6 linked regions of the Xenopus tropicalis genome follow. The protein of the gene in region 1 purifies or fractionates together with the protein of each later gene. This does not show direct contact. Links are inferred from orthologs where the notes say so. Each region holds a gene or a part of one and is shown in the gene's direction. Other genes may lie near its edges. The genes, in order: daxx, baz1b, dnmt1, cbx5, hipk2 and adnp.

Region 1 (2,901 bases):
CTACTCCCCCACCTCAAGAACCTACCCGACTTTTTAGTCTGTCCGAGACTGGGGATCAAGAAACTAGAAGACCTAGCCCAAGGTGTACAGTTCCCTACGCACCAAGAGCTGTGAGAAAAAGAACCCCAAGTGCACCTATTCAGATACCTACAGCTAAGACACGCCTTTCTGGCCAAGTTCCAAACCCTCACCCCAAACCTGGTCTCATTGGACCTAGAAACAGCACTTAACCAACACATATCAAAAAAGCTCCTTTCTATGCACACCTCCTGGAATCCAATGCCATGTGGACCACCTCAATCCCTAGCTTAGAGCTGGGCGGTATGACCAAAAATTTATATCACGGTATTTTTCAAAATTATATCGGTGTCACGGTATTTGACTGTATTTTTTTTTTTAGGTATGCAGCTGTTCACAAAGAGATGTTCTCCATCCCTTCGGGAACATTGACTGGGTATTCATAATAAGGGAAATATTCTTTCCTTCTGGTCATTTACTTAGATGCAGGTTTATGAGACCTTTCGTCAAAGAATTCTGCTTTGCAACGCATTATCAAGAATTAATGGGCTTGGTTATGCTGCTGATTATGTTTTTTTAATGTTCTAAGGCAATTTTAAAGTGGACCTTTATTAAAGATACAAAATTGTCTAAAAGAGCACTGCCCTCATAAAACTAGGGTCACAGGTGAAATGTAGCAGGGCTAATATGAAATTCCACATGTACCTCCTCTACAACCCCATGCCCTTAACGGCCCTGCTCCTTCCCTGCACCACCCGTTCCTCTGACAAGTGTTACTATCTTTTTATTTGCTTTCAAAATTCAGAGTGGCGTTAACAGGCACCTACCTGGACCTGGTTTCAACTGCGCATGCTCTGTCAGCAGTCGCACAAGTGGTGTGAGATGGTGCCTGTTAGACCTGCTGCACAGCTTTTCATGGGAACAGGTAGTGTGGGGAAGGGGGCCTTGGGACCTACCTACAGCCCCTCCCCACCATATCCTTTGCTCCAAGACAGGCGGAGACGGGCCCTTTTAAAAAGTTGCGCCGTACGTGACGTCAATACGCACGGGTGCAACTTTCTCGACCGCAACTTTCTCAACCGCAACCCCGATCTACACCGGTATGGGGGTATTTGAAAAACTAATATCAGCTTTTTTAAAAAAAAAAAAACGGTATTCGGTATATGGCGGTATACCGCCCAGCACTACCCTAGCTTAACGCTAGAGCAGTAGGAGGAAGCCACAGAAAGCTTCTATGAGTTTCTTATTTCCCTACGGGACAGGCTGATTCAGTATAAGGTCTTGCACCAATTGTATATTACACCCACTAAACTCTACAAATTTGGCAAAGCACAAAACGTTTGTTGTCCAAGGTGCAAATCCTCCCAAACGGAGTTTCTCCACCTAATCTGGAGCTGTCCCCCCCATTGCGCAGTGATAGTCTGCAGTGATGGATACCATATCAACAGAACTAGCGCTACCTAATGTGATCAATCCAACAACCTGTCTCCTAGGCACGGTGGAGGACATACTCCCCACCAACGCAGCCAGGGCAAGATTCAGATTTTACGCAAAGAAAGCAGTCATAATGAGGTGGATGGGCAATAGTGTTCCCACACTCGAATTCTGGCAACAGCTTATAAATGCTGCCCTACCCCTCATAAAACACACTTACCAGACCAGAGGGGCACAAAGGAAATTTGAAAAAATTTGGGGTATGTGGTGCGAGTCAAGCCGGTCTTTAACTATCTAGAAGGGGGCCATGTCCAACTTAACACTACGCATTAGGGCTACACCTAGCACCGTAGTACCGCGCAACTAACCTGAAATTGTGAAACAAAAACATTTACTAAACAAAAAATTTTACTAAACACCCATCTTTACTCATGTAACCTGTTTTTATTACATGTAGTAATTTCATTTTACTGTTATAAATAAAGAAAAAAAAAGTAGATCTCTCATCCATAAAGTATAGGAACCCCTACTTTAACTAGTGTCTCTTTTTGCATTGTAGATGTCTTCGCCAAGGAAAAGAAAGGTTTCCTCGCCATCTTCAGAAGAATCAGAGGCAGAGGAGTCGGATGACTCCATAACTGATATTGAAGATGAGCTGAAACAATGTGAGGCATTGTCTGATGAAGAGGAAGATGACATGGATGCAGGTGAGAAGGGGTAAGAAAGTTAAATCAGGGAAACTGCACAAAAAGCAATCAATGGCACAGAACAGTTCCAGAAGAGGCAAAATGCATAGTAACCTCCCTGCTTTCAATTTCTTTCCTTAGAACAACTTTCTGTTGACCAAGACAATGAGGAAGACCCAAACAGGGAGACAGAAATTGAGTCATTCTCTTCAGCTGAGGAGGAGAAAGAAGATGAAAAGGAGGATGAAGACCAAATCCAACATGGAGAAGATAAAGAGAAGGAGGGATATACGAAAGAGGAAAGCAGGCCAAAAGATGAGGTTGATAAAACCATGGTAAAAAAAGATGGAGAAAATAAAGAGTTGTTAATACAGACTTCTGCACAGCCTTCTCTTTTATCATCTCATGGGAAAATTTCAGAAATACTAGAGATACAGCAGGAGTTGCTTACACCTCATACCTCTTCCTGTCTTCCAAACCAAAGCCAGAGTAATTTAATATTGAGTACTATAGAACTGCAAAATGAATTAGTGGAGTGTGGTATTCAACAGAAGAGTATCTCAGAAAACACAAAAGACTGCCTTGAATTGCCAGAAAATGAGAACTTAGTGGAAAATGAGGGACTGCCACATGCTGCAAGCAATGTTGAGTTTGAAAATGCAGTAGTTGTGGGTAAAAAGACTGACATGTCTACAAATAGGTCACCTATGGACTGTCCTTTGCAGTCAGACTTGTCTAACTTAACTGGGAATATGCAGGATAA
Region 2 (3,722 bases), on another chromosome or scaffold:
TCCTGTGCATCAATCATGAATGCAAAAAAGCATACTATGGCATCTGGCAATGTTTCGGGTATTCAAAGTTCCCTTTCTCAAGCCCAAAAGTTATCTTACTACAAGCTCTTTGCACAGCATTTAAAGAAATCTAATAGGAAATGACCATCCATCCTCATATATTATATATATGTTATTGGAATACATTATATCTTAAATTTCACATTGCACTTAGTACTCTAAAGTAATTGCAACATGAACTCTTATTTTAAGAATAAATACAGATCGTAAACATCATAATCTTTATTTAATCCTGCAGAGAATTTAATTGTGTATCCAGCGCACTTCACTTTTTTCAGTCATAATTCTGTCTCCTCCACATTTTAAAGGAAGGTCGCTTCCAAAACCATAAATCTCAGCTGACCTGCTCTGTGTTGCTATTCTATAAAGTGTTTATAAGCTGGTTGTTTTATAATTCACAATTTAATAGCAGGTTTATGTTGTGATATACATGGCTTGACCGTCTGCATGGTCTCATCTATATAGATGAGACCGCACTGACATTTCAGCACATATTTCAGCATTTCAGGTCACAAATTTTGAGATATATGAATGGTAGTCCTGTAATTGTATCATCTTCCCTGTGGCTGGATGTACAAACTCCTTGCCCTTGATGATACTGGAACATTGTGTACAATATAAAGGGAACATAAAATATTGTTTTCAGTCCCAAAATTATACTAGTTTGATATTTTTGGAACAAATTATGAAGCTGTAACGGTGCTTAGTAATGTCATGGTCACTCTTAAGATGATCTTCCAATTTAAAAACCCACTAGGATTGTTTTACAACCAATATGGATTATGCCACATGTTCAGCAACTCGGTGAACAGATCTTGCTTATCGTGCTAATCTATGATATATGTTTGTATATATGTGTGTCGTTGTAACCACTGACTGTTCAGGACTGACTGGTTTGTTTGCTTATTTGCACAGGGAGGGGCAATATGGTGACGACAGATGAGGCAATTAGTCGCTGTGATATTTAGAATCTAGCTGCAGCGACTAATTGCATTATGCAAAATTCATGTGCTTAGTTCCATACGGTACATTTCTCAGGAAGTTAGGGCCGTGGAAAACGGGGAGATTAATCTCCCCGAAATGCCATCCCACCGGCAAGGTTGTAAATCGCAGGTGTGATGGCATACGCAGCGACAAAATCACTGAAGTTTCCTCTAAAGGCAACTTCGGTGAGTTCGGCAAATCGCCACGCCGCTTATGTCGGTGGGATGGCATCTCGGGGAGATTAGTCGCTCGCAACAAGGGAGATTCTTCGACAAAGATTAGTCTCTGCAACTGTGTTTTCTGTCACCATGACTGGTGTTTTAAAAAGTCGCTTCAACTAATTACCCCATCTGTCTTTGCCCTTAAGGGACACTTAGGGGGGGCAAGATAGCAGCTCCCAGTAGATATGAGAATAGCACTCAGTAGTAAGAAATCCAAGTCTGGCTTGGGACTCCTCCACCTACAAGGGAGTAGGAGAAACCATAGGTTACCTGAAAGCAGTTCCTAATGTGTAAGCGCTGGCTCTTTCTGAAAGCTCAGACTCTGGTAAAATGCACTGAGATGGCTGCCTACACACCAATATTACGACTAAAAAAAAAAAATTTTTGGTTCAAGAATAAGATTTTAAATGGTAGAGTGAATTATTTGCTATGTAATCAGTGTAATTAAGGAATAAAAAGTATACCATAAAAATCATGACAGTATACCTTTAAGGAAAAATGTGGTGTTGGTGGAAAACAGATACATTTTTTTGATGTCCTAAGAGTTCCACACTATTCGAGTGTGCTGCATTCTCATCTTAAGGAAAAAATTCACATGATTTAACATTTAAAAGAGGATTAACAGTGCATCTTAAAACTGCAAGACAACGGGCACAATGAGTGCTCAATGTAGTAAGAGTGGGCAGACCGTAAAATGGAGCCCATGTATATATAGGTCTGTTCCGTTGGCCTATCAATAGATTTACACAGTGCACAAACAGTAATCACTGTTACCAGTAAGTGACCAGTTCTACAAGGTAAAGCCAATAATGCACTTACTGGTGTGTTTAGAAATATGCATGTAATTGAACTAACTGCTAATGTAGTTTCCAGAAATACATGCTCTAAGTATTTAAGAACTTTTGAACTCATGTCCCGTATTCTTGGGATGTTGAAATTGCTTGTTTGGGGATGGTGAGTCCATAGTATAAAATCTTACAAAAGTTTATTTCTGCATACAGTCCTTGTGGGCTTCAAGTGTTGCAGCAATAAAAAGCAACTCTTGTCCCTTACTATGACATGATGTTACCATTCTCTTCTCTACCACATCCACACCACAAACTGGATTTTTAAGTCCTATATTTTCAACACTCCTTTCTGTATTTAAAAGGTTCAGTATTCGTGTATAGTGTGTTGTGCAATTCCCCTTGGAGCTTTGGACGCTAATATGCCCAGAAAATATGGGGAATAACTTCCCATTTCCTAATATGAAGAGTTTGTACTTATATTGTACCTTTAATCCTTGCATTCCCCCTAGTAAGTTCTGATAAGTTGCAGACCCATAATAAAGTAGCATAGTTATACGAAAAAAGGCTTATATTTATTTTATATTATCCAATTCAACATTGTGCAAATACTTGGACTACAAAAGTCTGATCCTGCTGCTTCTCTGTGTTCAATGATCCAAAACTGAACAAGGTAGGATGGCTTATCATTAGTGGGTGCACTGATGCCTGTGCCCCATGCAGGTCAGTGTAGTACACTTCAGACATGTTGGTCGATATTAAGACTGCATTTGGCAGCCAAAAGGCATAATACAGTAAACTTGTGCCACGTAACCCAATATTTATGGCAGCTTCGCTTCGATTTAACTATTTACTTCTGCTGTGTTTTTATTTTTGCAGTATATGACTCTAAATCCATCATCAGCAACAAAAAGGAAGAGTCTGGGATCCCCTGACCATAAACCAGCTAAGAAAAGTAAAAAATCACCACTTAGCCCATCATCGTGGTGTCAGGTGAACCTTAAGAAAACGGGGATTACCAGTTCCTCTTCAGAAGAAGAAATGCAGTTAATGAATGGTGCAAACTTAAACAAAAAAGGCAAGAAATCGGACAAGAAGAAACCTAAAAGTGGCAAGTCACAGCTACTGAATGGCCAAAAAGTTTCTGGCAAGGCTCGCTCTCCTAAAAAAGGGTTAAAGAGCCCAAAGTTAAAGCAAATGACCTTATTGGACATGGCAAAAACAACTCCAAAAGTGTCCCGGGCCCAAAAAGGGGGTGCAAGCACACCTAGGTCAAGCAGCAAACCCCACAAATACCTACCCCCTGCTGCTCTCCACTTAATCTCTTACTACCGTGACAACAAGAACCGTGAAGACCGTAAAAGCGCTCTGTCTGCACTGATTTCTAAGGTGGCTCGAATGCTGTCTGCTGAAGACCGCAAAAGGCTGCCTGATGAGCTTCAAGAACTAGTTCAGAAACGCTATGAACTGCTTGAACATCGCAAGCAGTGGGCAGTGATGACAGAGGAGCAGCGTCAAGAATACATGAGCAAAAAGCGTGAGGCGTTAAAAGCCCGTATTAAGGAGAAGGCTCGGGAACGGAAACAGAAGGAGAGAGAGGAACGTCTGGAAAAACAAAAGCGATATGAAGATCAGGAGCTCACTGGTAAAAGCTTACCAACTTTCAAACTTG
Region 3 (4,317 bases), on another chromosome or scaffold:
AGGATTATTTTTCAGTTATTTGTGTTCTTTTCAGTAAAACACCTCTGTCTATCCCTGCCACCTCCTTCTGTGTCTTCTCTAATAAATACGCACAACAGAGACCTTTCCGCACACCCTAGCTCTCCAAAATAGCCGGTGCACACTGCTGGAGGGATCGGCACCCTCCCAAATCCAATGTAGCAAAAAAAGGCAAATGGCACTCAGGACTGCAAGCAAGGGAACAAACCCTTTAAATTTTTATTGCGGAGGTGCAACATTTCGGGGCAAGATTACCCCTTTATCAAGCATGCTTGATATCTTGCCCCGAAAAGTTGCACCTCCGCAATAAAAATGTAAAGGCTTTGTTCCCTTGCTTGCAGCCCTGAGTGCCATTTGCCTTTTTTTTCTCTAATAAATACCTCTTTCTTTCAACCCTTAAGTAATAATCTCGGATTGTCTCCATGCATCTTGCCTGTATGTGTACCTGTTGGATGAAAGCTATTGTATAGCAACATGTTGGTCCTGTCTGTGGGTTTTCTAGATATATATCAGTCTGTATGTGATTACCTGTACATCCAAATTATCAGCGTATCATGATATACCAGTGTGAACTTCATAGCCCTCTGTACCTTGTTCATATATTCAGCAAACTGCCGTTGCCTCTGTTTCAAAATAAATAAAATATTATCAACATATCTCTAGTAGTGAAAGATATTTTTGGAAAACCTATCATTTTGTAAAAATGCGACAGTTATGGCTCAGGGCCACATTACTTCCCATGCTCGTAGCTTGCAGTTTGGAATGGTATTTGTCCTGAAACCTAAATTAGTTTTTACTGATGACAAATTCCATTAATTTACACAAAAAGCAACGTTTGGAATCATTCATTTTAGCTCCTCTGAGGTAATTTTGGAAGGGTTTTAGCAGGGTCAGACTGAATGGGTGCAGGGCTGTCGAGAAGTTATTGCTTATATATATAACTACTGAAGTTCCAGGTTCACTTAATATATTAATACTGCCATTGTTATTGTCACATTGTTATTATTATTATTGTTGTTATTATTGCCATTGTTATTGTACCCCGGCCCTGACACCAGAGAGGGCCCAACTACCCTCACAGCCTTGCTACTGGCTTTGTTTTACCACACACACATTTTGGCGCCAGCAGTTGTCAAGGAAGCAGAGCGCACTCTGTCAGCGCGGCCCCAGCTGCTGTGCGTCATTGCGTCATTACGGCGCCCCGCCCTCTTCCCCCTTTGAACCTGTCGCTGCGTCACACAACACGGCGCGCTGGGGCAGCCCGATAATTCCACGCTGGGGGGGCGGAGTTGAAGTAAAGCAGAATGAATGATCTGCCATAGCCCTCCCCTCCATAATGTGAATACAAACGCCCTACGCTGTCTATACGCACCAATCAGCGCTTCCCTCGTTTTTGTTTCGCGGGTAAAAGCAAAGCGCGGGAGAGCGCGGAGGGGGCGGGGTTACGTGACGGCGCCCGGTTCTTTTGCCATTTGAAAAGGAGAGGCGGTTCCGTGCGGTGGGTCACTGTGTCTGGCTCTGTCGCTCCGCACTTATCACGCCGCTGCTTGCTCTCTCTGTTGGTATAACTCACCTTGAGGTGGCGGGAAAATCCCGAGCTTCCCGCGTTGTGAGGAACTGAGACCTGCCCTTACGGGAACGGACCGCTGCCTCTGACCGAGTCTGTCTCACCGCTGTTATATACCGCCATGCCGGCCCAGTCCGCTTCCCTGGCTCTGCCTGCCGATGTCAGGAAACGGTAAGGGGAATAGCCCGTGTCACTGGTGTTGTACCCCCCCCCCGCTCCCCACCTGGTAACGGAGACATTCCCGGCATGCCATGCCCACGTTGAAGCTCCCACTGTTTGGGCTCCGCAGATATGAGATTATTATTTCCTTGTAGGTGTTGGGGAGCGACATGTCTCCTCCATTCAGAGCTCTGCAATATGGGGTACGTGTTGGTACCCTCTCAGGTCACATGTTTATTACCTGTCAGGTCCAGATATGGGTACATGGACATAAATCACTGATATATTCTCAGGCTTCCTGAAAGCGTATGGAAGAGGGCTGGGTCAGAGCTGGGACTCCTGGGCCCCTACAGTTGGGGCTGGGTCAGAGCTGGGACTCCTGGGCCCCTACAGTTGGGGCTGGGTCAGAGCTGGGACTCCTGGGCCCCTACAGTTGGGGCTGGGTCAGAGCTGGGACTCCTGGGCCCCTACAGTTGGGGCTGGGTCAGAGCTGGGGCACCTGGGCCCCCTACAGTTGGGGCTGGGGCTCCTGGGCCCCCTACAGTTGGGGCTGGGGCTCCTGGGCCCCCTACAGTTGGGGCTGGGGCTCCTGGGCCCCCTACAGTTGGGGCTGGGGCTCCTGGGCCCCCTACAGTTGGGGCTAATCGCTAAGAACCTGGTATGAGGTTCAGGTACATGGTCTGGTAACTGGTACAGTGGGATTATTCACCTTTTGACTTAACTGTTTTTTTAATTTTTTTTTAAACTATCCTATATTGGCAACAGGGCTGCCTCTCAAAAGCTGCCACCATAGCCATAGGCCCTTGGGTGCATATATATATATATATATTGCAACTTTCCATATCCCATGAACAGCTGAAAGTTGTGCTGGGAGTTCTATGAAGACACGTTGACCCTCTTGGTAATCTTTGTAAGAAACACTATTTTCACTTGTAAAGAATACCATAGGTGTTGTATGCCAATGATATACTAACAATGGCACCTATGGGGGGGGCAATTGCAAGTTTGGCAGGCAGTTTTGGAGTATTAATCCACTTGTGGCATCTTGGCTGATAAAGAGGGTGAAGCTTATTAGAAAATAACCAAGCATTGATGTTTAGAGAGGCGCACTGCTGAGAGCTAACTTTGTGCCCACTAAGCCCCAGTATAGGGTATTCAGCAGAGAATGTGACTTGGTGTACTTGTAAACACAACTCTGATTCTGGGACAAGCAGTGTAAAAGTATAGGAACTAAATATCAATGGCAGCTGATCCAACCCTTTGGACATGGTAATGGTGGACATTTGTTATAAACTTGATAAACCACTTAAAGTACCCTCAGGGGACTCATTGAACTTGCATTTTACTCAAAGTATTTTGAAGGAAGTACTGCTACCAGAAAGCAACAAGGCTTTGTAGGCAAACCTCTGTGGGTTGCAAAATGTCCAAAGTGTGTACTGGTTTGTTTTTTTTTGCAGTCCTGCTTATGACATTAACATGAATGTGAAGTTCCCATATGGACTTTGCTTCTGGCTAGAAGTACTTTCAGTATCCTTATCTGTACAGTATCTACATTCCAGTTACAATTTAAAAGCAACATTATGTTTAGGTGATAGAATATGTGTTCAAACATATTTAAATATGTTTGTTATATAGAAGAATGGTCGGTACCATGAGAATCAGCTTACCTGTTTTACTGAAGCGTCTATTTAGCTGCAGTACCACTTTTTCATGTGTACCGTGGCACCACCATTTCTTACCAGTGTTTGAGATATTCAGGCTGTGCAGGTCCTATTGGGGAAACTGTAGTTTCCCAGTTATGAGGTATAACATTCCATATGTGGTGTATATTAAAGCAAAATCTCAAATATTTTTTGTATTTTAGGCTAAAGGATTTGGAGAGGGATCAGGATGGAATGACAGAAAAGGTAACCTTTCTATCTCCCCTTTAAAAAAATATACAGATATGAATCGCAAAGACAAGTTGATATTTTACTTTAGGTCGCCTATGCTATCCTGTAGTTGGTATTTTCACTGGCTGCAGGGGTGGGGTGTTAATATTGCTATGTAGAGATAATAAACTTTAACATTAAGATCTATTTGACTAATGTTTAACCCTTTTGTATGCAATATTTTCAGGAATGTGTACAACAGAAACTGAGTTTGGTGCTTGGCTTCCTTGAAGCAGATGCTAGAAACAAACTAAGTGATCTGGAGAGCAAGCTGAGCAGCGAGGAACTGTCTGAGGTACGTCTCATTACTAGTAACGATAGGAATGCATCTTCTGGTTTGCATTTTGAAATTAATTACTGTATGGGTTAGGTTTGAAGTCAGATAACTATCTGAGCTTTATGAAGCGTTACATGGGCAAGGTATTTATGTTCCCAGGTGTGCACAGTAAAGTAACGTTGGGTGTATGTGCAGTACAGTAAAATTCACCATCTTTAGTCTGGGAGGAAAGAGATTCAACAAAGCAAGTGGTGCAGGGTTTTTTAATTTTAAAGGAATATTGTCATCGGAAAACACGTTAATAGAGCTTCTTCAGCAAAATCCTGCATTGTAATGTTTTCAAAAACATTTTTCTATATTTAAGT
Region 4 (4,504 bases), on another chromosome or scaffold:
TAGACAGACACGAGGTTTACTAGCATGTACTGGGTTTAACTATGTTGGCTGGATGCCAAAAGCAAAGGGACAGGCACAAAGGATTATTTTTCTTCATCTACTATAAGACCCTTTCCTATTAATTTCACCCTCTACCCAAACCACAAAAAAAATAAAAAAAATTTAAAATAAAGCCTATCTTGCACTTAAGCAATAATCTATAGCAACCAACGAGATGTTTGGCCTTTGTTCAGCCAGCAGCAGGAATGGTGAAACTACCACTGATGTGTTGCTATGGGTTACTGCCTAGGTGCAAACTTGCCCAGTGATTAAAAAGGAGACTCGCTAATTGGGCAAAGTTAGCAGCCAAGCCTCTAGGTGGGGGAAGTGCACTGGTTAGGCCTAACCAACCCAAGCCTCTAGGTGGGGGAAGTGCACTGGTTAGGCCTAACCAACCCATTCACCAAAATGGTGAATCACCAGTTTCCCCTCCCCCACCGCGATACCATAAGGGTCATTTTTTTCTATAGGAACAGGTTTCATTTAAGTTGAATGTGTAGAAGCCATAAATAGCGAGAATAATAAGTATATTGTTAGCCTGAACATCGAAGCTGAAAACACGCGTTTTTACAAATCCGGGAATAAGTTTGCCTTTCTGTTACCAATTTGTACGGTATCCGAGAGAGAGGTATTCTTTTATTTATTGCTAGAGAATATCTAATATGTATTAAGGAGAGGCCTAATCATGTGTGGCGTTAGAGAAAAGGCGCCTTCCAGCTACGGGCCACAGCGCCGCCATTAAGCGAGTAGAAAATAGGCGGTACCATAGCGCCTCGCAGGGTGGAGCGCACAAAATGGAGTCAGACAAAGGAACTCTACGCAAAGCTTCCAGCTCGGCGTCTAAAGAAAATCCCCAGCCAGGGCCTACATGTTATTCACATAATTTAGTCGTTATCTAATATAGCCTGACCTACCGTAGCACTCTCATATATACAGCATACAAAAAAAAACCTGGCCCAAAAAGGCGCCAACACTCCTACTGATACTTATGCCCATAACTAGAAGGCGTAAAACTAAACGACTATGATAAAAAGAACCGAATGCATTATGCACTGGCGCTAGGCCTTACCTCGGACTTGTGCATGGTGACTCTCCCCGATGTTAACTCAACAACAGCAGAAACAAAAGAGAAGCGACAGGAAGGAAGAGTGGGGGATTATAGCGCAATGGCAATGTATATTTAGTGCGCCAGAATACGCCCACTTGCCTCCTAATTGGTCGCTGTCTGCGTAGGCATCGTCGATTGGGCAACTAGCGTGACGTTTAACTTCAGCGATTGGTTAAGACGTTGAGGAGGAGGGGAAAAGAAATCGGGTACGTTTAGTCAGTCCTTTTGTCCGGCCTAAGTGAGGTGCTGGTACGCCCCGTTTTCTCATTGGGCGAGTGATTATCGGTGTGCATATTTTATACAGAGATTTCCGTACTGGCCCGGTGCTCGTTTTATAGAAGTTCGGGCAGATTTGGTTCTAGCCATTGAAATTACATTTTATAGGGCCTCAACCTTTGGTTATGAATTCTGGTGAATGGTTAGGCTGCAGTATGGCACGGACTGGGCATAGTGTGTACCCGAGGAGGGGCATTCCTTTAGGCTGGAGGGCGGTGTTGCGCATGCGTCTAGTGGGTTGTTTTTGGCGGGGTTTGGTCGCTGGCTGCGCACAGTACCGCTCGGTAAGAGCCTTCACTCAATTCCTGCTAGCGAGCAGCTTTCGGTGGGCGCACGGTGTATTTCGCGCAGGAAGGTGAGTACAACTCGCTGCCTCCCACCCCTCCTCGGCCCTTCCCATTCATTGGCTGTGTGAGGTGCTGCTGCTGGCACTGTGCGAATAATGGGGTGCCCCGGCTTCATTGTGGGAGACAGGGACAGTGATGTGGGAGACAAGGGGCGCTGCTGATTGGCGGAAGCTTGGGGGTCATTCGCAAACTTTGGGAGGAACGTGTTGTACCGTTCAGCCGTGTAGCCGGGCAGCGACAGTGCGAGGCTTAACTTAGGTACTTACCTGGGGCTTACAGACAGCGCTGGGCAATACCCATTGCTCTCTCCCCCTGGTATTGTATCCTGGGCTGGTCCTATTGGACTATTATACAATAAAAACCTGTATGGCATGATTCTGTTGTATATTCTCTGTATACAGATATCGGGCATGGCCAACATCCAGCTGTTCAGTTGGGGGAGGTGTAGTACAACAGCTGGATGTTGATGTGAGTCCTCCATTCATTCCATCATCATTGTGTGTCAGCAATCACATATGGAACGTCTGCTCTTCTGCACCCCTCCAGCTGCTGTGAGCTATGTCTGCACATATCAGCCAGCAGGTCAGAATGGTGTAGTTCAGCAGGAACAGTCTGCCAGGGGTTGGGCATCCCTAACCCAAGTAAAACCATGGCCTGTGGCTATGGAAATGGTAATACATGCAACACGCAGTACAGCAGCTTTACACCAGGCACATAACTTACTGGTATCACTTGAAGCAGAAAAGCAGTTTCTATGCAGTTGTCTCCATAGGTTAAGGCTATTTGCAGCAATTCCACACTTTTCTGTTAAATGAAGAGTGCCTATATTCAGAAATTCTGCCCTTGGAGGGGGGCGCATGCAACGCAAATAAGAGCGTTGCAAAATGGCTTCAGACATCACTCAGACCAGCTCTAGGCATTTCTATCAATCTCACCTCCTGTAAATAAAGTAAATACCTTGCTTACATGAGGCTTGAAGGGGGTCTATGGCAGGAGCTTAAAAACTACTATGCTTACAACCAGCTAGGCTGCTACCTAGGGAAAATGAAAAATGTCCCTAGGGAAATGAAAGGGAACGTGTATTTATAATATGACAATACACTTTAAGCAACGGCATTCCTTTAAATAACCTTCACACCTGCATGCCAACACAGCAAGCTTACTAGGTGTAATCACTAATGCTAACCTATAACCATACCATCTGGCAATTCTGTAGATTCTGGCAAATGCCAGAGGGGCTGCAGTAAGGTGTGGTAGACAGTCACTATTTATTGGGCCAGTGGAGGGGATTGGGCCTCCGTGTATGTCAAATACCAGGGCCTATTATGAATCTTAAGGTGTCCATGCACTGGGCAATTTTAGCTGCCAATATTGGTCCTTTAGACTGATTTGGCAGCTTATCTGCCCATGCATGGGCACCAACAACAGGCCCCAACTGACATCTGACTTGAAATCGGGCAGGTTTGATATTTACATTGAATTGGGGACCGTGTCGGCTCGTTTATGCAGTCTCTGAACTGATGGTGCCTATGCCCACCATTCTAATTCAATTGTTTGGCCCTAAGTTGAATTAGCCCAATATCACCCACTCGTAGGGGGCCTATCGAGAGAATATCGGATCTTACGGTGTATGGCCACCTTTAGTCCAGACTCCCAGATAAAGTCTGCTGGAGTATAGGGAGTAGTAGTTGAACAGCAGGAGGTTCACAGGCTGGACATGTGGGCTTAAATGTGCCTTTGTATACTTTATTCTTAGACTGTAGACATCTTATGTATATAAACAGTAAACATGTATAAACAGTGGGCAGATTTCCACATGGGCAGTAACCCATAGCAACCAATCCATGACTGCAGATTGAACAATGAAAAGCAAAAATGTGGTTGCCATAGGTTACTGGCCAGTGTTCATAAAAAAGCCCCTGTACACAGTCTACTTTGGAAGGGCAGGTGACATCTCTGTTTACCACTTGACCACAAAGGGGTTAAGATAACTGAGTGAAATTGCTCTTAACTTTCACTCTTATGTACTGTTTGATGACTTTATTATTTCAGGTTGCTTTTGCAACTTAAGGTGGAACTCCACCCAAACACAACTTAAGCGTTTTAAAGAGTAACTTTGTAATATACATCAATTAAAAAATATGCAGCAATTTCATGATTTTTAATATACAGGTATGGGATCCCTTACCTGGAAACCCATTATCCAGAAAGTTCCGGATTACGGAAAGGCCAACTCCCATAGACTCCATTATATGCAAATAATTCTAATTTGTAATTCTTTTCTCTGTAATTATAAATCAGTACCTTGTACTTGATCCCAATTAAGATATAATTTAATCCTTACTGGAGGCAAAACAAGCCTATTGGGCTGTTAAAGTAGTCGACTGTTCTTAACCTGCAACCTCCAAATCCCACAATCCCCTGCCGACGTGATGTCAGTAAGCAATGGTACATCATAGTGCAGTGCATTGTGGGTTATGTAGTTCTTGCATGCTGTCTGTAAGCTGTTGAGAACTTGTTACTATTTGTAACATCAATGTTTTAGTCCCTCCTCTCCCACCAGGATTTCAAATGATGCAGAAAGGTAACTGTTTTGAAGCTGGATTTCAGCATATAAAAATGGTATTTGTTTATACTTTTTGAAGGAACAGATTACAGTGATAGGTGTATTAGGGGTTTCTGTGATGTTTGGGGCTCTTTAACAAATTTTCGGAGTTCCCCTTTATGATGTATT
Region 5 (3,722 bases), on another chromosome or scaffold:
TTATCAGTAAATGATCAGCATTGTTTATTTTAGTTGCCGAGACAAGTAGCTGCTACTAGTAGCCCTTAAGGTGAAGACACATGGAGCTACTTAGTAGCAGCTACTTGCCATGGCTACTAAAGGCCAGAAAATCCCCTGCCATAGACAATATTGGGAATGGCCTCTGCTAGAGCTGGGCGGTATGACCAAAAATTTATATCACGGTATTTTTCAAAATTATATCGGTATCACGGTATTTGACGGTATATAAATAAAAAATAAATAATAAATATTGGTGGCCCCAAAAAAACCATATCGTTTTTTTTTTTAAAAAACCGGTATACCGGTTAAACCGGTATACCGCCCAGCACTAGCCTCTGCTAAAACCCATCAGTAAATGATCAACATTGTCTGTTTTAGTAGCTGCTACTGGTAGCTCTCTGTGTCTTCACCCTTAGGGTGAAGACACACAAGGCTACTAGTAGCAGCTACTTTTTTGCAGCTACTAAACTTCAGAAAATACCTTTCCATACTGAGAATTGCCTCTCCTAAAACACACGTAGAAACAGTTATCAGTAAATGATCAGCATTGTCATTGTCAGTAAATGATCAGCATTTTAATAGCCGCAACAAGTAGCTGCTACTAGTAGCTCCGTGTGTCTTCACCCTTAAGGTGAAGACACACTGGGCTACTAGTTGCAGCTACTTTTTTGCAACCAGGAACCACATTAATGGATCTAACCAGGAACCACATAGGAGCCATGTAAGTTCTTCTATGTAAGGATCTAGTTGGGCTTATGGATGGGTCTAACCAGGATCCACATAGGAGCCATGTAGGTGCTTCTATGTAAGGATCTAGTTGGTATTATGGATGGGTCTAACCAGGAACCACATAGGAGCCATGTAGGTGCTTCTATGAAAGGATCTAGTTGGGCTTATGGATGGGTCTAACCAGGAACCACATAGGAGCCATGTAGGTGCTTATATGTAAGGATCTAGTTGGGCTTATGGATGGGTCTAACCAGGAACCACATAGGAGCCATGTAGGTGCTTCTATGTAAGGATCTAGTTGGTATTATGGATGGGTCTAACCAGGAACCACATAGAAGCCATGTAGGTGCTTATATGTAAGGATCTAGTTGGGCTTATGGATGGGTCTAACCAGGAACCACATAGGAGCCATGTAGGTGCTTCTATGTAAGGATCTAGTTGGGCTTATGGATGGGTCTAACCAGGAACCACATAGGAGCCATGTAGGTGCTTCTATGTAAGGATCTAGTTGGGCTTATGGATGGGTCTAACCAGGAACCACATAGGATCCATGTAGGTGCTTCTATGTAAGGATCTAGTAGGGTTTATGGATGGGTCTAAACACAGAATTGTGACTTTATAAGAAGATAAAAACATAGATTTGGTTATTAAGTATTTACCCCCAGTTGTAATATTTATCCTTCCGTGTAAGTGCCTTTTGCCCCCAGTGTACGTCTAATTGTGGGTCTCTCTCTCTCTCTGCAGGTATGGCCTCTCATTTGCAGATATTTTCCTCTCACGGCCTCCCATTGAGGACCTTTTGTAAGGTGAAGAAGCCGAAGCTTGAACTGAGCCCGGGCTGGGATATGACTGGTTACGGTTGCCACAGCAAGGTCTATAACTCGGGCAAGAACAGCTCCACGTCTGGCCAGCCGGTGCTCAGCCACGCCTCCCTCCTCCAATCCTACGAGCAGACGGTCATCTTTCCCACCAGCGCGGGCCACATTGTGGTAACCTCGTCCAGTAACGGTTCCTCAGCGGCGACGGGGCAAGCACTAGGCGGCCCTCAAACTAACCTGATGCGGCGCAGCACGGTCAGCCTTCTGGATACCTACCAGAAGTGCGGGTTGAAGAGGAAGTGTGAAGAGCTGGAAAATAACAGCAGTGTACAGATCGTGGACGAGCATCCCCCCGTCACCCAGAACAATGCTAGCGGGGCCACTGCGGCTACCACCTCCACCGCCACCTCCAAGAATAGTGGCTCCAACAGCGAAGGGGATTACCAGCTGGTGCAACACGAAGTCCTCTGCTCTATGACTAACACATATGAGGTGCTGGAGTTCCTGGGCAGAGGAACCTTTGGTCAAGTGGTGAAATGCTGGAAGAGGGGAACCAACGAGATTGTGGCCATCAAGATCCTGAAGAACCACCCGTCCTACGCCAGGCAAGGCCAGATCGAAGTGAGCATCTTAGCCAGGCTCAGCACGGAAAGCGCCGACGACTACAACTTTGTGAGAGCCTACGAGTGTTTCCAGCACAAGAACCACACCTGCCTGGTCTTTGAGATGCTGGAGCAGAACCTCTATGACTTCCTGAAGCAGAACAAATTCAGCCCGTTGCCCCTCAAGTATATCCGGCCGGTGCTGCAGCAGGTGGGAACTGCTCTGATGAAACTGAAAAGTCTGGGGCTTATTCACGCCGACTTGAAGCCGGAGAACATCATGCTGGTGGATCCTTCCCGGCAGCCATACAGGGTCAAGGTTATAGATTTTGGTTCTGCGAGCCATGTGTCAAAAGCGGTCTGCTCCACCTACCTACAGTCCAGATATTATAGGTAAGTTGCCTAAAGAGATACCTGGTCTTAAGGTATAGTTTATCATGTACCATATATACTCGAGTATAAGCCGATCCGAGTATAAGCCGAGGTACCTAATTTTACCAAAGAAAACTGGAAAAACATATTGACTCGAGTATAAGCCTAGGGTGGGACATGCAGCCGCTACTGCTAAGTTTTAATAATCAAAATAAATACCAATAAAATGACATTAATTGAGGCATCAGTGGGGTATATGTTTTTCAATATTTATTTCAAAGAAAAACAGTAAACTAGCTCTGTAAGTGGAGAAGAGGGTCAACAAAAACAATATGGTATCAACAATGATAACTTAAGAGTACTACCCCCTTAGCTCAATCAGCAACCAAGCTAAAACACAAAGAGTTAAAATCCTTCAAAACTATATATAGTTTATATAGAATATAAAGTGCAAAATGGGAAAGGTGAGGATGGTAGATGAAGATGAATTTTCATCTGGAGGGACCCACGGCACCCGACTCGAGTATAAACCGAGGGTGACTTTTTTTCAGCACATTTTGGGTGCTGAAAAACTAGGCTTATACTCGAGTATATATTGAATTTTTACCCATAAAGCCATATATTGTGGACTCTGTAGGGTCAGGAAGTCTTTAACTCACGCAGAGGGTGGGAATGGAACACTTTGATGGGATGGGGGGGGGGGGCAATGATTTATGTAGGTGGATCAGGTGAGGAATGGGTGAATAAAGGCCAAGTGTAGGGCATTGTGGGTTGGCTGAGGGAGGGGGTAGGTACAGAAATGGCCTGGCCAGTGGGGAACAGTTAAACTATATGTCCAAAATGGACACCAGGCCTAGAACCCACTGTGATATTTCCCGGTATCAGAGTGGGCCAGTGAGACCCTTCTTCCACCCACTGCAAGTTGTAGAGTTGCCTTATACAAATTAAGCATTGTTTCACCTCTGGCCAGGCCATTTCTGTACCTACCCCCTCCCTCAGCCAACCCACAATGCCCTACACTTGGCCTTTATTTACCCATTCCTCACCTGATCCACCTACATAAATTATTGCCCCCCCCCGGGTTCCCGGATACCTTTCCATTGGCGCAGGAAGGCCCCGGCCACTCCCAATACCTGTTGTGCTTTGGGCAGGGGAGCCCTTGAAATCGGGTAATTTGATG
Region 6 (4,253 bases), on another chromosome or scaffold:
TTTTTCTGTATTACCTTTCCTTCTTCACTGATGAACTTTATCAATTGCTTGTATGTGTTAAGCTGTTGATTGGGACATTCATGATTTTATTAAATTTTGTATAATCTTCTTTAATTGTGAGTACAATTTTAAGTAATATATAATTTTATTTTTTTGTTTTTTTAATATACTGGTTGGTGATGGTAACTGTTGGTTTATTGCATTAAATATATACTTGAACTGTACTTTATTATATTTAAGTCAGTTTATGAATATGTATCACGTAAAGATCCACTGAACATTATAGGCTGGGTGGGGCATTGTTTAGACAACACATAAAAGACTGCAACACAGTGGAGCTGACGGCAAACACTGGAATTAAATAAAAGGCTTGAAGTCAGATTAATCATGTTTAGGGTTATTGGTCCTTTGAATTAAGTTGTCTTCATTTTTCAATAATTTCAATTAATTTTTCAATCAATTCAATCAAATGCTTAAATACATTTGCCTATTTTTTTTTATAATAAATAGGCCTGTTGGTAGTGCCCATACAGATGCGCTGCTAAATTGGTCTGAAATTGGCAACTTAAATAGGCATGTGTATTGTTACCTTTAGTCTAGAAAATCAGAAGCCCCAAGAATAGAAGGGCAATGGCAAACCAAAACTACTTTAGTTGAAAGAAAATATTCCAGGTCCCCAAACATACCATGAAATAGGGTCCTGATTGTATCAGAGAATGACTTTAATGCTTGGCTGTTGACCATAGAAAGCAGCTAATTGGCTTTGAGGGCACCTATATGCACAATGGGTTACTAACTAGCAATCAGTTCTGCTAAAGGTGCTGATGCTTTGCAACTGCCAGAGGGATGCTGTGGTACCTACTATATTGGCACCATAATACCTAGCTAAGGGATTTTACTTGTCATTTGTTAGATCCTCAAGAACTACAGTGACCACTGGCTGGAAGATGTCACCTCCCTCCAAAGAGACCATTGTAAATTGGCAGTCCTTGGCAGCCATTACTGTGGCCAACTTAGTTTCCCAATGAGCCTCTTTCCACAGAAGTGTAACTCATGGGATGCTTACTTCTTGCTCCTGATATAGTGCCAGTAGCAATGAAATTGGCACCCAGTCAGGGAGCTGCCCTACCAATCTCTTCCCTCCACACCACCCAAACCACATGGCTGCAGCACTGAGAACCCAGCACCACGTGACCAAACCCATAATAGTGCCGGTGGCGAAGGGATACCAAGAACACCGCGCATTCCCACTGTAATTTTTCTGTCTTTGAAGTATCCGTCCGCAAAAGGCGCCCCCTAGCGGTGAGAGGGAGATTATCTTGGTGACCCGATTTTCTCTTTCACCCCCAAATTCCTGCTGGACAAGATCCCCTTTGTGCATGCCCATCTCCCCGGTCCCCAGGTGCGCGGCTGCAGTGGAGTATTTGTTTTTTCCCGGGCTCCCGCCAGCTCCGGACAATGAGTCCCCCCACCCCTCCTTCATGCTAATGAGCGCTGACGTCACTTCCGCTCCTTCGCGGCCGCCATTTTGGCCAGGGCAGGATCGGAGCCGCTGCCGCCGCCGTGCTGTATTGTCTGCAGGAGGAGGAAGTGCACCCGGCGGAGTCACAGCTGCAGCCACCGGCACCGGGAACTGACTCCACCCCCTTCCCACACACAAACACGGGGCTCATGCTCAGGCGCATTGCCTGGCACCCCCATATCCCAAGGGGCCATAGGCTGCCCACCGCCTCGGGCTGACAAGCAACCCCCCGGCTCAGGTATGTCTGGGGCCGTGAGCGGCGTAATGGTTACAGGGTGGGTATGTTGGGGTGCATCTTCTCATGAAGTCGGAGTGCCTAACGTGAGGTAGAACTAGAACTCCCAGATCCCCCCTATAGAGGATGATGGGATTTATAGTTCAGGAATTGGGGGGGGTGACAGGGGGTAGAGCAGAGCTAGTTACGGATAATAAAGTTACTGGTGGTGTGAGGAACAGATGGAAGTTATTAAGGATTGGGGAGACACTGAGGGCTGCAGGAAGTGCGGGGCACAATGGAGTTGGTGGAAGTGCAGAGAGTGTGAGGGACACAAATAGGGGATGGAGATAGTGTGGGGACAGATAGGCAGGCTGATGGGCCCAGTGGGCAGGGGGCATACCTGGCTATTGTACTGAGCACTCACATCTGTGCCGGGCAGCTCTGATTGGATGCGGATAATGATGGTTGTGGGGACAGACTTGTTACTTTGGGTGTAGGGATGGGGGAGGTGCCAGTATGAGTCCTGTTGCCCCCATTGCCACTAGCTGGGGTGCCCCAATGGGATGTGTGGGTGGGCACCCTGCTGCTGGGGAGTTCCAGCCTGACATGCAGTGCCGGTGGGAGCTCGGCTAGAGGGGTGCCGGGCATGGAGGGGCACAGGATCCGGCTGTGGGTGCAGCGGGGGGCATGGGGTTGGCGCTGCCATGCTACATAAATAGAACTTCGTATTGCGTGCAGTTATGAAGCCGGAGGGCCGTACCTCGGGCATCCCAGTGGCATGAAGGCAAAGGGTTAATATATGGGAGGGGGTGGGGATAGGGGCTGCCCCCACCCTCCCTTGTCTGGCTGCTTCTGCTGCAAAAAGGCGCGATCCTGTAGGAGGAACCTTTAAACCAGCATGCTCCCCTCTCCCCAGGTACACATGGGCTGGCCGGCGCTAGGGTTTAGCGGCAGGTGGGCTGCACCACTCCCCGTAGTGGGGGTCCATCACAAAGGCGCTCGATCCGAACTGCTGCCGGTGTTTTCCTGCGCTGCACATGGCCTGCTGTCACAGTGATGGCTTCGCATTAGTCATGCACTTTAGCGCTGTTTGTTTTCTCTATTTGCACGGCTGCGAGCTGTGGCAGGGGGGAAAAAGGGGAATAAAAAAAATAACAGGCAGCCTCCACCCAAGATGCACTGCAGCTAGAAAATGGCGCCTCACATTCCAGTAGGGGGCGCTTGCTGTGCGCCGGGTAAGGCGCTGGGGTGGGGGGATGGGTAGACTGAAGCAAAACTGGAAGCTGCTGCACAGCGCCTCCTATAGGTTTGGGAGTGGAATGCGGCAGGGCCCATGACAGCAGCATTATGCACTGCTTGTGCAGAGAGCCAGTGATTCACTCCCACATTCCCTAGGCCCCTCTGGTGCTTCTAGGTGCAGGCTCTAACTTATCCCTTGTTTGTTCAGGTTTTGCCCATCACTAGTGTAGAGCATGGATGCACTGCTTGGGACCTTCTGAGTGCTACAGTTCCCAGCATCTCTGCTAAAGGCTGCTAGTGATGGTTCAGCAACACCTTAAAAACTATACTTTGGATACCTGGGTATAGCCCCCCTGTCACAAAACTGACTTGTCAAATTGGTGCCTTTTCTTACTCATGGCAATTTACTTTACTCCTTGTGTCCATTAGGGCTATGCACCTCACATCAGATTATGCCAGCTAGTTATTTACCACTAACTTATCCCTTGTTTGTTCAGGTTTTGCCCATCACTAGTGTAGAGCATGGTATAGTGTATTCAATAACAACACCTTACCTTACTTTTAGCATTTTTCGGGTTCAACGTTTTGTGCAACTTGTGCAGAAACAGAACTCCCAAATTATAAAGAGGGTGGCCCTGGGAAGGGGGTGAAACATAACTGAACTGATAGACTAATGTATCAAAGCACTAACCCAGTAAGTGGCACTATAGAGGGGAAGAGTAGAATCAGAGGGTACTGTAGTTTTTAAGAAAATACCATGTGCTTAAAATTCAATCATTTTCTCTCTACAGGTGGATAAATTCATTGGCACTTACACTTTTTCCTTGGATTCCTATCTGCAGCACCTTGCACTGTGTGGGACATACAGCAACAAACTGGCGCTCGGATCATCATTTCAATCTTCCTTAACTTTATTTTGACATAAAAGGTTTGTTTTCATTTCTCCTTTCTACCTCTAAGCTTTTAGAAAAGAAGGATGGTAGTAAGGACTGTGTTTTTGCATGGCATGTTAGAGGACCCTGGAACCCATGGAGTGAAGTGTCTTTAGTAACCATCATTATTTATCAACTGTGTAACCATGCTTTAAAGTTAATTACTACTGAAAAACAGTTCTTTTGACTAATAAAAGAAAATATAACTTAACTTTTCAAAATACATGCATTCCTGATTTCATTAGTTTTAAAAGTTATGTGTAAATGTTATTAATGTTGAAAGCTGTATGTGTTGATCCATTTTTGTTCTGCGTCAGCCATCCTGCAGGTCTGTTACCAGCTA

Evidence for each region.
Region 2: the proteins of daxx (region 1) and baz1b purify together in Homo sapiens (co-immunoprecipitation; 3 studies listed by BioGRID and IntAct, with this or other methods). This does not show direct contact. The link is inferred for Xenopus tropicalis from reciprocal best matches to the Homo sapiens genes DAXX and BAZ1B.
Region 3: the proteins of daxx (region 1) and dnmt1 purify together in Homo sapiens (affinity purification with western blotting; 4 studies listed by BioGRID, with this or other methods). This does not show direct contact. The link is inferred for Xenopus tropicalis from reciprocal best matches to the Homo sapiens genes DAXX and DNMT1.
Region 4: the proteins of daxx (region 1) and cbx5 purify together in Homo sapiens (affinity purification with mass spectrometry; 3 studies listed by BioGRID and IntAct, with this or other methods). This does not show direct contact. The link is inferred for Xenopus tropicalis from reciprocal best matches to the Homo sapiens genes DAXX and CBX5.
Region 5: the proteins of daxx (region 1) and hipk2 purify together in Homo sapiens (affinity purification with western blotting; 3 studies listed by BioGRID). This does not show direct contact. The link is inferred for Xenopus tropicalis from reciprocal best matches to the Homo sapiens genes DAXX and HIPK2.
Region 6: the proteins of daxx (region 1) and adnp purify together in Homo sapiens (affinity purification with mass spectrometry; 4 studies listed by BioGRID and IntAct, with this or other methods). This does not show direct contact. The link is inferred for Xenopus tropicalis from reciprocal best matches to the Homo sapiens genes DAXX and ADNP.

Annotation. Positions count from the first base shown.
Region 1 is NC_030684.2:72,192,411-72,195,311, reverse strand, and holds part of daxx (death domain-associated protein 6), read left to right. Parts: intron 1-2,011; coding exon 2,012-2,159; intron 2,160-2,279; coding exon 2,280-2,901. UniProt on the Homo sapiens protein: Transcription corepressor known to repress transcriptional potential of several sumoylated transcription factors. Down-regulates basal and activated transcription.
Region 2 is NC_030678.2:41,885,072-41,888,793, reverse strand, and holds part of baz1b (tyrosine-protein kinase BAZ1B), read left to right. Parts: intron 1-2,929; coding exon 2,930-3,722. UniProt on the Homo sapiens protein: Atypical tyrosine-protein kinase that plays a central role in chromatin remodeling and acts as a transcription regulator. Involved in DNA damage response by phosphorylating 'Tyr-142' of histone H2AX (H2AXY142ph).
Region 3 is NC_030679.2:137,119,408-137,123,724, reverse strand, and holds the start of dnmt1 (DNA (cytosine-5)-methyltransferase 1), read left to right. Parts: upstream 1-1,442; 5' UTR 1,443-1,706; coding exon 1,707-1,756; intron 1,757-3,608; coding exon 3,609-3,651; intron 3,652-3,862; coding exon 3,863-3,970; intron 3,971-4,317. UniProt on the Homo sapiens protein: Methylates CpG residues. Preferentially methylates hemimethylated DNA. Associates with DNA replication sites in S phase maintaining the methylation pattern in the newly synthesized strand, that is essential for epigenetic inheritance.
Region 4 is NC_030678.2:145,616,151-145,620,654, forward strand, and holds the start of cbx5 (chromobox protein homolog 5), read left to right. Parts: upstream 1-1,632; 5' UTR 1,633-1,778; intron 1,779-4,504. Other genes in the region: hnrnpa1 (heterogeneous nuclear ribonucleoprotein A1), read right to left, coding at 1,109-1,123. UniProt on the Homo sapiens protein: Component of heterochromatin that recognizes and binds histone H3 tails methylated at 'Lys-9' (H3K9me), leading to epigenetic repression. In contrast, it is excluded from chromatin when 'Tyr-41' of histone H3 is phosphorylated (H3Y41ph).
Region 5 is NC_030679.2:7,953,571-7,957,292, reverse strand, and holds part of hipk2 (homeodomain-interacting protein kinase 2), read left to right. Parts: intron 1-1,494; 5' UTR 1,495-1,496; coding exon 1,497-2,563; intron 2,564-3,722.
Region 6 is NC_030686.2:35,649,555-35,653,807, forward strand, and holds the start of adnp (activity-dependent neuroprotector homeobox protein), read left to right. Parts: upstream 1-1,431; 5' UTR 1,432-1,760; intron 1,761-2,557; exon of another isoform or gene 2,558-2,655; intron 2,656-3,769; 5' UTR 3,770-3,906; intron 3,907-4,253.